Linked DNA regions of Caenorhabditis elegans. The protein of the gene in region 1 interacts with the protein of each later gene in a pairwise test. Each region holds a gene or a part of one and is shown on either strand. Other genes may lie near its edges. The genes, in order: enri-1 and mfap-1.

Evidence for each region.
Region 2: the proteins of enri-1 (region 1) and mfap-1 interact in a two-hybrid assay, tested with the Caenorhabditis elegans proteins (one study listed by BioGRID).

The regions. Positions count from the first base shown.
Region 1 is NC_003280.10:2,335,799-2,345,879, reverse strand, and holds enri-1 (Enhanced Nuclear RnaI (RNAi), T. Duchaine), read left to right. Parts: upstream 1-5,133; 5' UTR 5,134-5,142; coding exon 5,143-5,287; intron 5,288-5,865; coding exon 5,866-6,086; intron 6,087-6,837; exon of another isoform or gene 6,838-6,903; intron 6,904-7,002; coding exon 7,003-7,211; intron 7,212-7,473; coding exon 7,474-7,918; 3' UTR 7,919-7,983; downstream 7,984-10,081. Other genes in the region: F43C11.6 (MotA/TolQ/ExbB proton channel domain-containing protein), read right to left, coding at 2,015-2,326, 2,785-2,915, 3,204-3,256, 3,307-3,443; F43C11.7 (RING-type domain-containing protein), read right to left, coding at 8,228-8,298, 8,345-8,603, 8,711-8,759, 8,807-8,994, 9,063-9,137, 9,188-9,357, 9,868-9,943.
Region 2 is NC_003279.8:8,635,523-8,644,502, reverse strand, and holds mfap-1 (Microfibrillar-associated protein 1), read left to right. Parts: upstream 1-4,266; 5' UTR 4,267-4,267; coding exon 4,268-4,425; intron 4,426-4,479; coding exon 4,480-5,269; intron 5,270-5,399; coding exon 5,400-5,672; intron 5,673-5,725; coding exon 5,726-5,905; 3' UTR 5,906-5,989; downstream 5,990-8,980. Other genes in the region: syx-17 (t-SNARE coiled-coil homology domain-containing protein), read right to left, coding at 1-4; mog-7 (GCF C-terminal domain-containing protein), read right to left, coding at 281-329, 378-637, 948-1,201, 1,284-1,428, 1,474-1,789, 2,371-2,642, 2,695-2,849, 2,894-3,032 and 2 more; cpn-1 (Calponin-homology (CH) domain-containing protein), read left to right, coding at 7,380-7,499, 7,628-7,843, 7,888-8,130; ces-1 (C2H2-type domain-containing protein), read right to left, coding at 8,459-8,544, 8,599-8,783. UniProt on the Caenorhabditis elegans protein: Involved in pre-mRNA splicing.

The DNA.
Region 1 (10,081 bases):
CATTTAACCCGAGTGCAATTTGTTCCGGTGTAGCTGGGGGTAAAATTGACTGTAAAAGTTTCATTTTTACGGAAAAATCGTGATATCACTTACAAATTTAAGTCCTACGTCAGCTTCGGTAGGCGGTGGTATTTCACTTTCCGCAAATGAGCCAATAGCAACCGGACTATCGCCAGTCTTTCACGAGAGCTCAATGCAGCCGCCCGAGTCAGTCATTATGACCACGCTAGCTGAAATTCCAGTAAAAAAAAGTACATCGGTGATGAAGATTGAAAAAAATTTGGTGCGAACTGAAACTTCTGAGAAACTATCTTAGAATCTTAGAAGCTAGAAACTAAAAGTTCATGAATTTCATTTCAAAAAAAAAAAAAACAATTTTCATCGATATTTTTATCAGTATGGGCCACAAATCTCACCTTTGACCACTGTCGCCAAATCTGGACACTTGGCTGCACTAACCGGGCATTCTTTTTCTGAAACCAACTGAAATTAAAATATTAGTTTATTTTTAAAAAAAGTCACCTGTCATGGTTGAAGACTCCATTGCGGGTGTTGTCATTTCTATCACTTCCTTTAAAAAATAAATTGAGGATTTCCCAGGAAATTACTATGAATCTTTCAATAAATATTATTTACCTCAGTTGTTTTATCACCGGCCATTGTGGTATCAACACCCATTGTACTTTCCTCAGGAGCTTGGGTGCTCATCTTAGGAGCCAATGTGCTCGGAATATAGGCTTCATCCGGCGGAACCATTCGCATGCAGCAAACATGGAATAATTAGAAATATAGTTAAAATATTCATTTTTTAAAGATATTTTGAAATAAAATCTTAAAAGCAAAAAGTGATGGGGTGATATTATTTGAAATAAAACTAATCTCTTCTCAAACCTCGGATCAAAATCCAGTTGCGCAAGAAATGGAATCAATATCTATCGGAGGCACCTGCCGATCACAGTCTTGTACGATATTCAAGTTTTCGTTCATAATCTAAAGACTTCAAACCAATGATCAGTTTTTATATTAATCCAATTTCAAGAGCAATTTTGATATCCTACTAGAGGATAGAGTGATCAATCAGAAATAATTGATATTTATTTTAATGCAACGAATTTCTGTGTTTTTTTTTTGTTTTCTTCGTCCGAATTCTTGATACGGTAAGCCTGCGATGTAGGAAGTAGCTTACAAGGAAAGGAAGTCAATCTAGTCCCGGACTTTAAATCAAGACATATGTCATTTGAAAGCTTATGTTTAGACTAGATCACCACAAAAATTTCAGCGGCGGAACTCAACTCTGAACCCCTGAAAGCGCCATCTGAAAGTGCTCTAGTGCATTTTTTTGCTGAATTCTAGGTCAAGGAAATGGCCTTAAAAGTGGTTATGAGCGGTTAAAAATTGTTTTTGTGAGCATTTAGGGTCAAACAAACAATGTGGAAGATTTTTGGAAATTTTTATTTTTTTGCAAAAAATCTGAATTTTTGCGGTCCAGTGGAAGCCAAATTTTTGGTCAAAAAATTTTTTTTGAAAATTTTCCAAAACTATTTTTTTGTATCGGGGCATATAAAAAAGTACAATTTTCTTCCAATTGAGCCTTTTGCACCGAATATGAGGTGGTTTTTAAGCTTAAAAATTGCTTGAAATAAGTAATGGATGCACCTTTGAAAACGTTTTTCTTTCACAAAAAGGTCCGAAGACATATTTACCAGCTAAAAAATCAACAAATTAAGGCTTAAATGAGCTACGAAAGTCGTCTTAAACTTTATAATGAAGATCAATTTTGAATAAAAATAGCGCCTCTTTAGTGATCTCCCCATCAATCTCTGTTCTTTTATCTTATCATTGAGACATTAGCTTGTTGGAAATCCAGTTACACAAGAACGGGATCTACTTTGGCTTATTACTCTTGTCTAACTATTCACCAATTTTGCTTGAAAAATACATTTAACAGAAAATTGAAATTAGAACCGTTTATTTATTTACAAAACCCATAAAATATTCTTTAAAAAATCGAATTTCAATTTTTCAGCTTCTCAATTGTTTTCTGATATCCTTCATTAACTTTCTTCACGCAAAAATCAATTTTTGAAATGCATTTCTCCAATTTTTTTGACGAATTTCCCGCCGTATCCGATGGTTTGAAAATCGATTTCAGACGATTATTGCGTTCAACTTTCAGAAATCCATAACCAATATTAAATTGATATCCAAAAATACAAAAGATTCCAAGGAAAATGCACAAAAATGAGAATGGAACCATCACTAGTGACGTGGCAAGTGGAAGCTCTGCGATGAAGCGGCCAATTAGTTTTCCACACGATTCACCGAACTGAAAATATAGTTTTTAAATTTTTAAAGCAAAAATTCGAATTTTGCATAAAATTTCAGCTTAAACACAGAAAACTAGAAGTCTCTAGCTTGATTTTGAATTTGAATTTGTTTTTTTTGGGTTACTGTAGCCCCAAAAATACGCAAACACTATTAGATTGAATTTCCATTATTAAATTTGAATTCTCCGCTGTTCACTTTGTATATCCGTGAGTTTTCAGCTGAAAAATCGAAAATCGCGTGAAATTCGGTGTTTCTGGTGTACTGTAGTCGGTGTTTGCGTCCTTTTGGCGCTACCGTAACCCGGGATTTTCAAAATTGCGCTAGAAGCTTCTAGTTTTTTGTGCTTAGCCTGAAATTTTATAAGGTTTTCAGATTTTGCACTAAAATTACACAAAAACTTCTGGTTTTCTTGGAAAACTCGAGATTTCAGTTTTCTTCAAAATATCTAAAACTTACTACTGAAGCACACAATATTATAATCCGTCCAAGTAGACTAAAAGGTACTGTAACTGGATTCACATGCCATTTCCAATGTGTACTTTCTGCCTTGCCAAACATCCACCGGAGCAGCTGATTAGATAAGGTGTCTGAAAATAATTGATTTGTTGGAAATTCTGAGATTTTTCAGAATTTTTAACTTTCAAATTTGAAATCCACATAAAATTTCAGTCTAAAAATCAAAAACTAGAGCTTTCTAGCTCAGTTTTGAAATTTCGAGGGTTACGGTAGCGCCAAAAGTACGCAAACACCGAATTTCACGCAATGTTCGAATTTTGAGCTGAAAATTCATCGGTAGACTAATAAAGTGACGGAAAATTCGAATTTCTTTGTAAAAAACCTCAGAAAAAATTTTGAAATATACAAAAAAAACCCACCATCTTTCCATTTATGCTCCTCCAACATCAGAATTGCTTCGATAAATATTATCCTAAAAATTTTTTTGTTTTTCATTGCAAATTTTCTCTCTGAAAACCTTACATGGTAACTAGAAATGCTCCAAAAATTGATAAATTTTCAGATTTATGCCATTGGAATACGGCTTCCCGAGTTAAAATGAATATGCCGAGTAGAAGAAGAATCCAGGAGACGAGAAATAAAAAATCGAGTAGGAACATTGCTGAAATTGATGAAAATTCGTAAAATTTTTCATAATTTTTGGTATTTTTACAAAAAAAATCCTAATTTTTATCGATTTTCTCTGAATTTTTCACGATTTTTCTTTCAAAACTTCTTTTCGCATTAGTAGTCATTGAAAATTTTATTAAAAACCAATAAAAACTACTTAAAACCCACAAAACCACAATTTCCCATTCAAATTCCCCTGCTGTGTGGATTTACGATAAACAGCACGCACCGCTGACGGGAGAGCGGAGTGTCGTTTAGCGGGGGGCACATGGTGCATTGAGGGTGAGAAAGTGGAAAGTTATCGACTTTTTAGAAGAATTATTGAAAAAATAGGTAGATTTCTATGAGAAACTTCAGAAATTCTCCAATTTTCGCCAACTTTCGCCAAATTTCTGTAAATTTTCGCCAACTTCTACCTGATTTACACTACTTTTCAAGTGGTTTTCGGGCAGTTTTCGTAATTTTTGGCACCTTTTTTTTTCGACATTTCTCACCAAAAATTATTTTTTTTAGATTTTCAGTAGATGTGTTTTTGGCTAGTTTGGAAGTTTTTTGGCAAATTTACAGAGATTTTCTGAACTTTTAAAATATTTGTTGCCATTTTCTCCAGATTTTAGTTTTTTTAGATAGTTTTTTTTTTGCATTTTCCCTTTTTTTTGCCAAATTACCGTACCAATTTGCAATTTTTCGGCGATTTCGGGCAACTTTCCTATGTTTTTTGCTAGTTTTTCAGTTTTTTTGGAACTTTTTTCGCAAGTTATATAATACTTATTGTACGACAGTTTTCAGTAATTAGAAATTTTTCATAGATTTTCAGAAGTTTTTGGTTATTTTTTGGCAATTTTTCAATAACTTCAAGATTATGTATTTTTTGGCAATTTACGAGAAACTTTTTGGAAATTTTTGGCAATTTTAACAACTTTTTGGTAAGTTTTGGCAATTTTTTAGCAACTTTTTGAAAAGTTTTGGTAATTTTTTGTTATATCGCTGGGAAATTTCCAATCTTGTCAGCAATTCCTAAACTTCTTAATTTTAAAATTTTTTTGTTGCCAATTTCCATATTTTATTCCGGCAAAAAAAAATTTTATTTTCCATTATTTTCCGGCTGTTTTGAAGTTTTTCCCATAGCCCGCACCTATCGAACACCCCCAGCTGCCACAACGACTCCGCAATTTTACGCCAATTTCTCTGGTGTCTCTTACTATTACATACTGTTTTCTTTACATCTTATTTCTGTGGTTTTGCACGTCTGGGTCTCATACTCCTCTTCACACTCTCTTCTTCCTGCCCGCAAGCCCCCTGACCTTTACGCGTTCATTTTATGCAAAACAATTCCGTTTTTCTATAGATTTTTTGGTTTGTTTTCGAAATTTGGGCGGTGAGCAATTTGGGATGTAGATTTCCGTTTTTCAGAATATTGAATTAAAAACCTTATAAATTCCAAAAATTCAGTGCATTTTTTTTCAAATCTTTCTCAGAAAAATTAATAAGCTTTCCTGAAAATTGTCCATTGAGCAATTTGTGTTGTAGATTTACACTATCATTTTTCCAATTTTTGAAGAATTTTTAAACTTTCTTTGGGTTTTTTTTCTAAAAATTCCCAATTTTTATGGTTTTTGATACATATATTTTTTACTTTTTTTCACCTTTTTTCTAACTAAAAATCGATATATTTTCCAGAAATTCGCTATGAAAATAGCAAAATTCACCCGAATTAATGCTCATCAAGTACAAAACTGCAACAATGAAAAAATCGCACATGAACGGAAAATGGAGAAGGTCTTCGAGTTTTTGGCTGAGGATAAAAAGACGTTTGAAGCCAGTAATAGTTTTGGTGAGTGATTTTTTATTTTGGAAAATTATTATTAAATAAATCGAATTCTTTACAAAAAAGTCACTCTTGTAACTAAAAACTAGAGTTGTCTAGCTCAATTTTGAAATTTAGAGGGTTACGGTAGCGCCAAAAATACGCAAACACCGACTACAGTACTCCAGAAACACCGAGTTTCACGCGATCTCCTAATTTTGAGCTAAGAAATTAGGAATAGACTAAGAAAATTATGAAGAATTCGAATTCTCTAAAAAATTCGAAAAAATGGCTAATAACTTTGCAAAATTAATTTTTGAGCCGCGACGCGACCGCAACGCATTCAAAAATTTCCAACAATTTAAATTTTTGAAGTTTACGTTTCAAATTCGAATTCCCCATAAAATTTCAGTCTAACCCGCAAAAAATAGAAGTTTCTAGCTCAATTTTGAAATTTCGAGGGTTACGGTAGCGCCAAAAGTACGCAAACACCGAATTTTACGCGATTTTTGAATTTTGAGCTGAAAATTTACAGATAGACTAAGAAAATAGTGGAGAATCCGAATTTTTCATGGAAAATGCGAAAAAAATGTAAATTTTTCCAGAACGCACACTAATTTTCTGCAAACACGACAAATCGGCAATGGCAGCTCTGCTAACACTCTACGACAGCAAAACTATATTCGGAACGTTTTCGGAATATCTAATAACAAATGACAAAACTGTGCTGGAAAGAGAACGGGTACAAGTGAATAATGGAGAGAAAATGCTCGCGATTTGTAATATGGATTTTATGGACGATTTTCAGTTGGGGTTGGCTAAGCATGTAAGTTTTTTTGTTGAAAAACTTGGAAAATTTGTAAAAAATTCAAAAAATTTGGCACGAATTTACACTTTTCCTTGCCAATTTCAAATTCCTCACAAAATTTCAGTTTGATACTGAAAAACTAGAGCTCGCTAGCTCAATTTTGGAATTTCAAGGGTTACTGTAGCGCCAAAAGTACGCAGACACCGACTACAGTACTCCCAGAAAAACAGAATTTTACGCGATTTTTAAATTTTCTGCTGAAAGCTAGGGGTTAAGCTGAGATAATTATGTGGAATTCGACATTTAAATAAAAAATTCATTATAACAACTTTTGAGCCCCAAAAACTAAACTTGTTGTCTGAAAGTTGTCAGATATTGTTAGATATTCAGATAATTTCCAATTTTTATAGTCAAATCTGAAATCTACACAAAATTTTACTAAGGCAGCCGAAAACTAGAGCTCTCTAGCTCAATTTTGAAATTTTAAGGGTTACTGTAGCACCAGAGATACGCGAACACCGACTACAGTACCCCCAGAAACACAGAATTTCACGCGATTTTCGATTTTCGAGCTGAAAATTCATGGTTAAACTAAGAAAATTACGGAGAATTCGAATTTGATAAGGAAAATGCGGAGAAAAAATCCTAACACCGAGAATTCAATTTTGAGCCTCAACGCGACCGCGACGCATTCAAATCTTGGAACTTATTTTGAAATTTTCTTCTCAAAATTGAATTTCTCATAAAATTTCATGCTAAACCTCAAAAACTAGACCATTCTAGTTCAATTTTAAAATTTTCCGCGTTACGGTAGCGCCAAAAGTACGCAAGCACCGAATTTCACGCGATTTTTGAATTTCGAGCTAAAAATTGAAATTTAGACTAAAAAATATACCCGAAATTCAATTTTAATACTGGAAATTTTATTTTTCAGTACATCTTCCTCGATTTCCCACTAAAAATCATTGGAATCAAGAAAATGCTCGATCGGCTCAACACAATGGCTCAGCAATCGGAGCAAGTCATCGATATTGATTTTTTAACGACAAATATGGATGCACGGATCTACCAGGAAGCTCTGAACATGGAGATGACTATGAGAGGATCCCAAGTCCCAAAGTGGCTGACGGAGCTGGTGAACGGGTAAGGACCTGAAGTAGAGCTTCATGTAGGCGCCAAAATGCCTGCCTGCCGCGAGCCGTGTCTCCTGTATATATATATATATATATATATATATATATAACCCGAAAAATGTCGGCCGCGTCAAAACTATATTGCTCATTATGTGGTATAAACACCAAGCCTTTGACTTGTTTCAGAAATGAGGCGATAGGCAGGCGTGAGGCGGCAGGCCTGAAGTCTAGCCTAGAAGCCTAGCCTAAAGTAACATTTTTTGTTATTTCAGATCATCAGAGCTGCCGGAGGATCCTGACGTGATCTTTGTGAGAACTTGCAAGCCCGACCTAGAACCACTCACGGCTAAACCTGCAAAGCTCCCGTCACCCCGGCAACCGGAATCCAAGCCATCCAACGAAGCTTCAAGCTCCCAACTCGAGCCCACATCAGCATCACAGCCCCCATCTCGAGTCGATCAGATCTTGAAGTCAAGATCAGGATTACCAACAAAGGATGCAGACAGCTCCTCCGAAGTAGCTCCACGAAAACGGAAGCCGAAATCTCCGGCATTTGACATTTACAATATGAAGCGCCAACCCGATGGGACTTTTCTCATACCGAGCCACGTCATGGGCTTCTGCAATGAGGATCTCAGTGAAGATGATGAGGAACCGGATCCGGAATATGATTCGGAGGAAGAGTATAATTGGATGTATAAATTGGATGTTTGGTAATTTATGGATCTCTTCTTTTTCTTGCATGACAACGTTGAACCCAAGAATAAATGTGTCTGAATGGTTTTTGAAATAGCCGAACTAGTCTAGGGGCTCCATGGAGGCTCCAAAATCTTGAGGCCCTGAGACGACCTCCGCCTGCCTTGCGGCGTGGAACCTGAAAAGTTTCGGCTGGGTAGGCCTGAAACCGGGCCAATAGTCCATTTACAGTATAGACTACAAGAATACATACAAGACTACAAGTCGGCCTGTTAAAATACAAAATGAGAAGACGGAATAAGCTTTATGTATGTATATTGATGTTTAACTTCAGCTCGAATCTTCAAATCGGAATTCTGGAAGCTTCACATGCAAGGTTTTCAATTCCATTGGTGGTTTTTCTGAAAATTCATATATCTATTGGGGAGATAAAACTCCAAACCCCACCTTTAACATCCGAGAAACTAAAGGATTCATCATTCCAGTCAACCTTATCCTTCACCCGATACAACTCGAAATCGGTCATCCCGACGAGCTGTTCCACTTCCTCACACTTCTTCTCCAGTAGATGCCTGATGACATGATTGGAGATTTGACCCATCCGATTGTCCTCCTCACTGGTCAGCACACTCTTCTTTAACACTTCCTTTGAAGTCTTTTCTCGTTCTGCAACAGAGCTTCGGATTCTGTCGTAGTGTCGTGTTATCTGAAAGTACAACTTACTATAAGGTTTAGGCTTAATCTTAGGCTTAGGCTCTGGCTTAGGCTTCCACTTAGGCTTAGGCTTTGAAAGAACCTGTAAATGAAACTCACCTCATCGTATTTCTCCTTATATAGCTCATCATTCTTCTTGAGAGCAGCCCTGAAAACAGGAAGTCGCTTTTTTCTACAAATCACTTTTAAGCCCACTTTTCCAGTGCTTGAATTTTATCATCAACCTGTTTCTTGTTGACTTGAAGCTTCCTTTGCCGCTCTAGAAGGTTCTGCCTAACTTTCTTAGCTTCAACCTGCAGAAGCCCTTTTCTATGTCCTGCGTGGACTCCGAACTCCTCACAAGTCCGGCACATCAGCTTGCTTCGACTGGAGCAGTTTGGACTCTGAAGAACTTTGGTCGATGCGCCATGTCTTGCAATTTCACGCATCATGGTGCATCGACCAAACTTACGATACAAACGAACTCGGCCAGATTATAAGTGTGCTCCTCGCAATTTGGTGGTGCTCCAGATGATCTTGGCTCAGTCTGATAGTGTGTAAAGTCTTCAACAATATTAATGAAAAATTCCAACTTACAACGGACTCATTGATATCATTGAACAAGCTTATAGCCTCTAGCAATGCAAAATTGGTCTGCAAGTTTTCATTTTCTCGAAGCTCAGTGGTTTTTCGGCAGAATGGGCACAGGATTTTGAAATTAGAGACTAATTTTGAAGAGCAGGCCTTGCAAATTGAGTGACCGCAAGCTGAAAAGTGACTTGCGAGTTTTGATGGTCTGTATGGCTAGTTAGTCAAGCCTAAGTCTCAGCCTAAGTCTACGCCAAAGCCTAATCCTAAGCTTAAGAATTAGCCTAAGCCTAATCCTAAGCTTAAGAATTAGCCTAAGCTAAGCCTTAGCCTAAGCTAATCCAGGCCATCCAAGTTTAGTTATACTCGGCATTTGGTCCGAAAAGTATTGACTTCGATCAGAATTTAGATAAACTTGGTCAAAAATTGGGCAAAATTTTGACATTTTTTGGATTTAGGCTTTAAGCGTAAGTTTAAGCCGACACAGCAAAAGTTTCGGGCCAACGTAACTTTTGGCGCAGCCTGAATGCAAGAATGGCCAAACTCTTGTTAAACTGTCCGGATCTAGTAAGATGATATTCTTGGGCTAATCATGGGCCTATTACATTTTAAATTTGGACGGAGCCCAACGCAACTTGGAACATTTTTTAGCGTAAGCTATGCAATAGTGGTCTCAAGTCAAAACTCACTCAAATTCTTGGGATGCCGATTTGTGATCACATTTGAATAGTCCTCGGTGCAAACTCCGCATTTCAGAAACGACATTTTTTTTTCGAATTTTGTTTATTTTACTGGCCAGTCGACAGAAATTAGAAAATGAAATTGAAACTACACTCTTATCAAGGTCGTTGCTTCCTCACTCGTGCTATTCTTTAGATAACCAATTCACATGTCAATTTCCCA
Region 2 (8,980 bases), on another chromosome or scaffold:
ACATGCGCACTAATGTGCTAAATCTTTGAGCAAGTGTACTCATCTAAAAATTGATTTCTTTTGTGAAAATCTGAACAACTGAAACATAAAGCAAATGAAAATAATGGCAAGAAAATAGCTCGATGATCAAAAAACATTTTGATAAGGAATAGAATGGGAATGAAAATAAAATAAATAATTCATTATTTTGTAAATTTGACAGAACAGAAAGAGAAGGAAATAAAAAAAATTAAAAACTAATTGATGAAACCGGTTTTTTATGCTTTTTTTCAGAAATCAATCACCGCTCGAGTTTCTCCAAAAACTTTCGAATCTCCTTGTGGAAGCTCCTGAAAAATAAATTATTTTCATGAATAATTTGATTTCATGTCACTTACCTTCCTGCTTTACTCTGCTCTTCAGCAATTAGCTCGAGTGTTCCAATTAATTGACGAAATGATGTTCTTCCACCCATTTTCAAAAGCGAATCATCAAGCTCGGCGAGCAATCCCCGAACCTTTCGTTCAGCAGTCACGTCGTTTTTCGAACCAGTACGAAGAGCCATAACACATTGAGAGTTGACACATTTTTCAACAACCAATTCAAATCTGGCGGCAATTGATATCAGTGGTGAGAGGGCATTTATCGATTTTATGAGCTGTAATTTTTTTTTTGGAAATTTTGAAAAAAGGGGTTTCAAACATTATATTTCGAGATATTCAAAATAGCTATTTATGTTGTACTAAAAAGTTTCTGAAAAGAGCTGTCGGCAAAAAATTTTGGGTTTTCGCGGTTTTTCAGAGAAAAAATAAGGAAAAGTTTATGAAAAATCGAAAAATCTTTAAAAAAAGGAAATTTTTCAACGTTCTCAAATCCAACACCCTTAATTCTATGGAAATCAATTATCTTTTTTTTCAACCAATTTTCTCGATGTTTTTGTATTGTTTTAGTGATAAGATAAGTATTACCTTAATACAAGTCCAAAATTGTCGATCGTGAAATTGTCGACAAATAGGTTGTTCAAGAGCATTTGGCATGAAAATTGGCATAAAAAGATCTTCAGAAATACAATCACAAATTCGTTCTCGAATTGCATTTAGAAATGCGTTGAATTGCTTGCTTTTTTCCGTCAAATTTGGCAGTTTTTCAAAAAGTGAACAAAATGTTGTGAGATGACGAGTTTGTCGAAGAGACATTGGATCCCATTCCTCTTTTACGGTATCTGTAATATGGTTTTTGAAAAATAATTTTTGTTTGGAAAGCAGAAAAATCACCAAAATTTGATGAAAGTTTCAAAAACAAACCTATTAAAAATGGAATCACAACTTTTTCAACGATGGCTGGCGCCAGCTCGACTAGGATTTCATGACTTTGATCAATTTCTGCATTTTCTGAGCCAGCAAGCATTGCGATATGGAACCATTGCATAGAAGTTAAGATTGTTTCTTTCTGAAATTTTTTTTTTGTTTTGTAAAGCTATACAAAATTACTTACTCTAAGAAAATCCGCTCTGAGTATCTGTAGTCGAACATACGGAGAGCTCAACTTTGGAATACACAAATAAACATAAGCATCCTGAAACGACTTCGGATCAACTGCCAACCAATCCGTCATCCGTCCAAAAACTTTTCGAAGATCAGAATACTCATCTAGAGCATCTGCAAATAAAACAGAAGCAACTGCTTCCACTTCATCACAGATCTTTTGATCATTCATTGACTGGGGAGTTGGTTCTTCATCATCTGTACTTAATCCTTCTTCATGATTAATTCTAGCAAGTGTAAATTCACGTTCTCGACGTCGACGGCCTCTGAAATATATAAATATATAGATTTTGATAGAAATAATCTGAACAAGAATGAGATTTTTTTTTCTAAAAAGTGAAATGTCATAGTTGTGAGAGATCGTCTATTGTCATATGGGAAATATTTTCACATGATTATTGCGAAATAGAAAAAAAAATTGAGTATGAATATCTATGTGTGCGATGAAAGAAAATAAAAACAGAACTCAAACTAAAGGGACTATATTTAAATTTTAATTAGTTGGTTGAAAGTATAATTAATGGGGTTATTCAAGTAATGTCGGAAAATTAAAAAGTGTAGAAAAATTACGTCACCTTATTCAAGTAGATAAAAACATGTATTTAAATACATTTGTGACGTCACAAATGTACTTAAATACATTTTGCTACATTACTTGAATAATCCCATAAATATTTGTTCTACATTTTCGGAAAGTTTTAGAATTTATAAACTTTCTGAATTCGTAAAAAAAATTCGTGCCGAGACCCATCATTTTCAGCTATGATTATTTTTAGAAAGCACAGATATTGATATTGACAGATTTCCCACAGACCTGTCAATTAAACTATTTCAAAAAAATACGTACCTTCTGGCGTCACGTTCTGCTGCTCTTCCAGCGGCCTCACCCATTCTTGCATTTCTTCCCTGCATACATTCTGCATGTTGATCCCTCATGTCTTGTCTTCTACGTACCGAGAGTCTTGAAGTCCTGGATTTCCCACAATCTCTTTTCTTATCGATAATCGAATTAATTTCGCCAACTTTTTCATTCAGACATTCTAAAAGACTACGGGAATACACTCGTAATTCTTGATACATTGTGTATTTGGTACTTTGGTTAGGAAGCTCCATTTCAATCTGAAATTATTAAAAAATGATATATATATATAATTATTGAAATACTTGTTACCTTTGCAATCATTGATTTGTTTTCTTCAATATTTTGCTCCAATTTTCGTTTTTCTTCTTTTCTGAAATTCAATGCTTCATCTCGTTCTTGAATCCGCAATTTTAATTTAGCAAGAATATCTTCAATTTTTACAACTCCTCCGGTATTTGATGGTCCTGAAATTAATTAAAATTATTTGTCTTCAAACAAAATAATATACCAGTAAATTCCGGTTTTCCAATTACTTGAACATCCATATCAAGATCAATATCCATATCCATTGCTGTGTCATCTTCAACAGGAACTGTATGCCCAAATAATTTAGAAGTATTTCGTTTTTCTGTTCGCAGTTGGCCTATCTATAATTTTTAAATTTTCAGATTCACGATCTCTATTACCACAAAAAGCTCACCTCTCTCCGACTAACAGCTTTCCGAATTTGTTGTTTTTCCCATTCCTCATTTTCACTATCATCATCACCTTTTATTCGTTCAGCTTCATCAATATCTCCATTTTCTCGTTCTAAAAATCCTTCTTGTTCTTCTCTACGACGATCTTCTTCTGTTCGAAGTAGCTCACGAGCCGAATAGAATTTATTTGTACACTCTTCATCCGAATCATCATTCTCATCTTCTCGAATCAATCGATTTCGTTCACTTTTAGATTTAAGTTTTTGTGTGTCATCCAAAGGAATATATCCGTCTTGATTTCCCTCTCTTCTGGCTCGTTCTCGGCGTTTTTTTGCTTCGAAAACGGCACGAGAGTCGGGAATACCTTCAAAAGCAGAATTGAATTTATTGGAAACTGATGAAATTGCTTCTGCATCAATATCCAAATTTTCTTCGTATTCGTAGCTCTCCGAATTCGAAATGTGCTTAGCAGATTTGTCACGATATTTGTCAAGGTATTTATGCCGCTCATTTTTCGTCTTTTTGTCTTCTTTTGAGAGTTTCTCCTTTTTCACAATTTTATCAAGCGCTTCCTTACGAATTTTCTCTTCCTTATATAATTTTTCAGCTTCCTCCTCTAGTTTGTGTTGACGTTTCAATTCTTCAACTTTTTTCTTGTCTTTCTTAAGTTTGAACGTCGAATCAGCTCCTTCATCAGCATCGAAACTCATGGCTGGACGAGGCACAGCAGGTTGTTTGACCTTTAAATAAAAATTAAATTAAAAAGAATGTTGAAATTCATTAAAACTCACTTCGATAGCCGAGACTACTTGTTGGTTTTCAGCATCAGGTTCATCCCATCCGTCAGATTTCCGTTGGCGAATAGCACCTTTTGCCTTTGGTTTACGGAACATTCTGAAAAACGTTTTGAGTAAAAAAAAAAGAAAAAAATGAGCGTTTAGCAAGAAAATTTGGCCAAAATTGATATTTGAAAATATTTTCGTAAACGAGACTGTCGTAAGATGTGCTGTTGGGTCTGCATACACCACGTGAGGTACTCTTTATGCATTATAACTTACGAGCAATTTAATGCTTATTATTTTTTTCGAAAAATTCAATTAAAAATTTTACATATTTACTCTTTATTGTTTCTGACTATTTTTTGCCGAAATTAAAAAGGGTTAATTTTAAAAATAACTTTCAGAATGGGAGATTATGTACCTGGATTTGAACAACGCGAAAGCGATAATCGAAGTTTCGGACATTCGCGTCTTCCGACTCTTGGAGCCATTCCAATCAAAAATGAGAAAGGACAAACTGTTATGCAGAAAGTGAAAGTTTCAAGATATGTGGCTGGAAAGGCGTAAGTTTTTTTTCGTTTAATGGTTGAATTAGTCTTTAAAACATTGATTTTCAGACCAGAATATGCTCGTAACTACGACAGTGACAGCAGTGAATCAGACCGAGAGACAGATCGAGATGATGATCGAAGAAGACGTAGACGTCGTGAAAGTAGTGATGAAGAAGATAGAAGACGCCACAGAAGACACGAAGATTATGGTAGACGACGACAGGTGGAGAAGCCAGAAGTTCTTGGAAAAGTAGAGGACGAATCATCTGAAAATGAACAGGAATCTGAAGAAGACGAAGAGAAACAAGAAGAGAGAAGAGAAAGAGCCAGAATGAGAAGATTGGAATTACATGAAAATAACAGAGAAAAAGATGAAGAACAAGAAGACAGTGCTGAATCAGATGAAGAAGATTTTGAAAGAAGACGTCAAATGCTCAGAGATAGAGCTATTAAAAGAGAGGAAGAAATAAAACGAGAAATTAAAGAAGAACTTGAAGAAGATGATGTTGAAGAGGAGGAAGAAGAAGAAAGTAGTGAAGAGGAAGATTCAGATGAAGATGACGATCCAGTTCCAAGATTGAAGCCTATTTTCACAAGAAAGAAGGATCGTATCACTTTGCAAGAAGCCGAGAAGGAGAAAGAAAAAGAAATTCTGAAAAAGATCGAAGACGAAAAAAGAGCTGAAGAACGGAAGAGAGAAAGTGCAAAATTAGTTGAAAAGGTTCTTCAAGAGGAAGAAGCTGCTGAGAAAAGAAAAACAGAAGATCGTGTTGATTTGTCATCTGTTCTAACCGACGATGAAACTGAAAATATGGCATATGAGGCGTGGAAGCTCAGAGAAATGAAACGATTGAAGGTAAATTTTTGCTGCAAAATTTTGAATGTAGATCTTCGAAGTTTTTTTTTTGAGTTTTTTAATAAATTGACATAGAAATTTCTCAAAAAAATTCTCACTATAATATCCGATATCCAATTTTTTTTTGCAGAGAAACCGTGACGAACGTGAAGAAGCCGCACGCGAGAAGGCAGAACTTGACAAGATTCACGCAATGTCCGAGGAAGAACGACTCAAATATCTTCGTTTAAATCCAAAGGTTATCACTAACAAACAGGACAAAGGAAAATACAAGTTCCTTCAAAAATATTTCCATCGTGGAGCTTTCTTCTTGGATGAAGAAGATGAAGTACTCAAGAGAAACTTTGCCGAAGCTACCAACGATGATCAATTTGATAAAACTATTCTGCCGAAAGTTATGCAGGTAAATACTCGTAACTTATTATAGTGATAATTGAACTAAATTATTTATTTCAGGTCAAAAACTTTGGAAAAGCATCTCGAACCAAGTATACGCACTTGACAGAAGAAGATACAACAGATCATCAAGGTGTTTGGGCATCAACGAATCAGTTGAATTCTCAATTCTCCACGAAAAGAGCCGGAGGATCCAGACCAGTTTTTGAGAGACCTGCAACAAAAAAGCGAAAGAACTGAAAAAGCTTGCACATTCCTGAAAATCCCAATTTTTTGTACTTCGATTTCTATTTATTTGTTTTCTAAGAATAAAAAATGTTTCAGAGTAATTGTGCGATTAAAATACACCAGTACAATACGTGTTGCAGTAGCAATTATTCAACGCCAAAGTTCAAAGTTCTCGTCATACCAGCTAATGCAAAGGACAAACACAACTGTGTGTTCGAAACAAAAAAAACCAACAGACGGTTCGTTTCTCCCCTCATTTGGTTTGTGAACCTCTCCTATTCGGACTTTCAAATGTTTTATTGAGAATTCCCATATCGACTCTCGTTTTCATATTTTTCAAATGCATTCAACCTAAACGAGCCGCTCACCATTCGTCCTTGTTTTTTTCTATTCCTTTTCAAGGTTTTCGTCATCATGTTGTGAGGAGTGTGTTGTCGATCGCCACCTTTTCCGATCGGTCGACTCTTGAAAAGTGGTTTTGCGTTTTTAATTAGAAAAGGGTCATTGGCGTGTTTGTATGCATGTTTGCAAAGTGTCCTATTACCGGTACAGAGAGTGTAGATAGTTAGAGAGTGACAGACATCCGGGACCCAATGGGGCGGGACGCGCGGAAGAGACGATTTGTGCCGATTTACGAAATTTTCCTCGTTGTCATCATTTCGTAAATCGACACAAATCGTCTCTTCCGCGCGCCCGCCCCATTGGGTCCCGGATGTCTGTCACTCTCTAACTATCTACACTCTCTGTACCGGTAATATTTCTTTCAAGAAGTAGTTTTCGTTTTCTTTCATTAGTTTTATGTTTTTTATAAACCAGGATATTAGATCGTAGTTTTCTTATTTGAGCTGCAAAATCTCTTTTTGAAAAATTTTTCCATGCTTATGTAGCTTTCATTTTTTTATCGCTCTTTTTAGATTGCGACATAGAACCAAAGTAACTTTATTTTGAGTGCCTCGAGCTCGAGAAAGTTCTAAAAATCTATTTTTACAATGAAATATTAATAATTTGCTGAATTTTATTTAAAACATCTTCTTTTAATGTTGGAGAAAAAGAACAGTATTTTCAAAATCAAACACAAAAATCTAGCGATCACCACAAACTTTTGTTTCGCTATGGGACCCGGTACTGTTGCCTCTTGAATGTTCCTTTAACTACAAAAGACCGCCTGAATTTTAGGAGCGCTCCTGAGCACATTTCTCATATCTTCATTCAAACCGGCAGTTTTCTCCCGAGAGCACTCTTAAATTGTTATTTTTGGGCTATTTTCGATTAAACTCTTCCAATTCTTTTTTATCAAACACCGTTCAATCAAATGTTCCTTATCAAAAACGCAAGACGTAGGCGGAGAACCAAAACTTTGCGATGAGTCAGAAGAATTTCACCATTTTTGGTTAGCGGAGAGTGGAAGAACCTCTTTTGTTTATAAATATTTTTTCTCGTCGTTAACTATACGCTTTTTTTCTTTCAAACTTATTCGTTCTAGAAAATGTCCGCTTTCGCTTCTTCGGATCGCGCTGAAAAGTCTGGAATTGCATTGGAGGCCCAGCAGAAAATCTACGAGAAATACGATAAGAATCTTGCCGGAGAAATTCTTCAATGGGTTCAGGTAATTTTGTGAAACTTTTCAAACGTTTATTGATTCTTGGCAAAGTCATATGTTTACATTGCAAACGAAGAAAATCATACAAATAAGTTATGCTCCTTCTTCGATTCACGATTTGAAACATTTTTCAGAACGTCACTGGCCAATCTTTCGACACCCAAGGAGACGCTGACAACTTGGTCAAGGTTTTTCAAGATGGAAGTCTTCTCTGCACTCTTGCCAATTCTTTGAAACCAGGAAGCGTCAAGAAGGTCAACACATCTGCCATGGCATTCAAGAAAATGGAGAACATCTCTTTCTTCCTGAAGTTTGCTGAGGAGTATGTGCAAAAGTCGGAACTCTTCCAGGTTTGTCCTTTCACTAAACACATTATGACATCAATTGTTTTCAGACTGTTGATCTCTACGAAGGACAGGACCCAAATGCTGTCCTCATCTGTCTCGCTTCTTTGGCACGAAAGTCTGAGAAGAACTTCGGTCGATCTGGTCTCGGACCGAAGGAAGCTCAAGGAGATCGTCGTGAATGGACCGATGAGCAATTGAAAGCTGGACATAACGTGATTGGTCTTCAAATGGGCAGCAACAAAGGGGCAACTGCTTCAGGACTTAACATGGGAAACACCCGCCACATGTAATTTCCAACGTATTCCCTACATTCTCAACCGGTTCTGGTAATCATAACGTGAAATTTTCCTATTCATTTTTTTATATGTCCAAATTATCAAGTGTACTGTAATCGATCTGGAAGCCACGCACTTCTAGAAAATTCAATTCGCTTCTCCAAATTTCATCGGTTCCAACATACAACTCATAATGATTTCCATGTTTTTGTGTAGAATTTTTGTCCAAATTATTTATTGTATTGTAATAAAGCTTGTAAGTAGGCAAATAAGCATTTTACAATATGAGACTAGACGATTTGCAAATGACTAGAAGAGCTTGAGGTCTGGTTGAACATGGATGTCATTTGCACGTTTCCAAATGACGATTTAAATAAGCTCGCAGGGCAAATCGACGACCACATTTATCACATTCGAATCGTTTGTCACCTGGAACAACAAATATTGAAGAACTGTTAGGTGTGAAAATATATGCGTAAATACCTGTATGAGTTAGCATGTGCGCTCGTAAGTTGCTCCGATCAGCAAATGATTTTCCACAATGAGCACAAGAGAAAGGCCGAAGACCTGTGTGAGAACGAAGATGTCCCTGGAGCAGCCAAAGTCTCGAAAATCGTTTCCCGCAAACATTACATTCATGAGAAGCGTTGTGTGTTAAAATGTGCATGCTGAAATTCAGTTTAACTTGTAAAACTAGGAGAAAAAGTTAACGTCCAATCCTAAGTCTCTACTAGATTGTGAACACTTAGCCCCAGCTTTCTGGTTGCTAGTTTCACTACTAATTCCATCGAATTCTTATTATTACCATGTATTATATAATTTCTATTATCCGCCTAACTACAATAGTGTACAATGTGTGTTGACG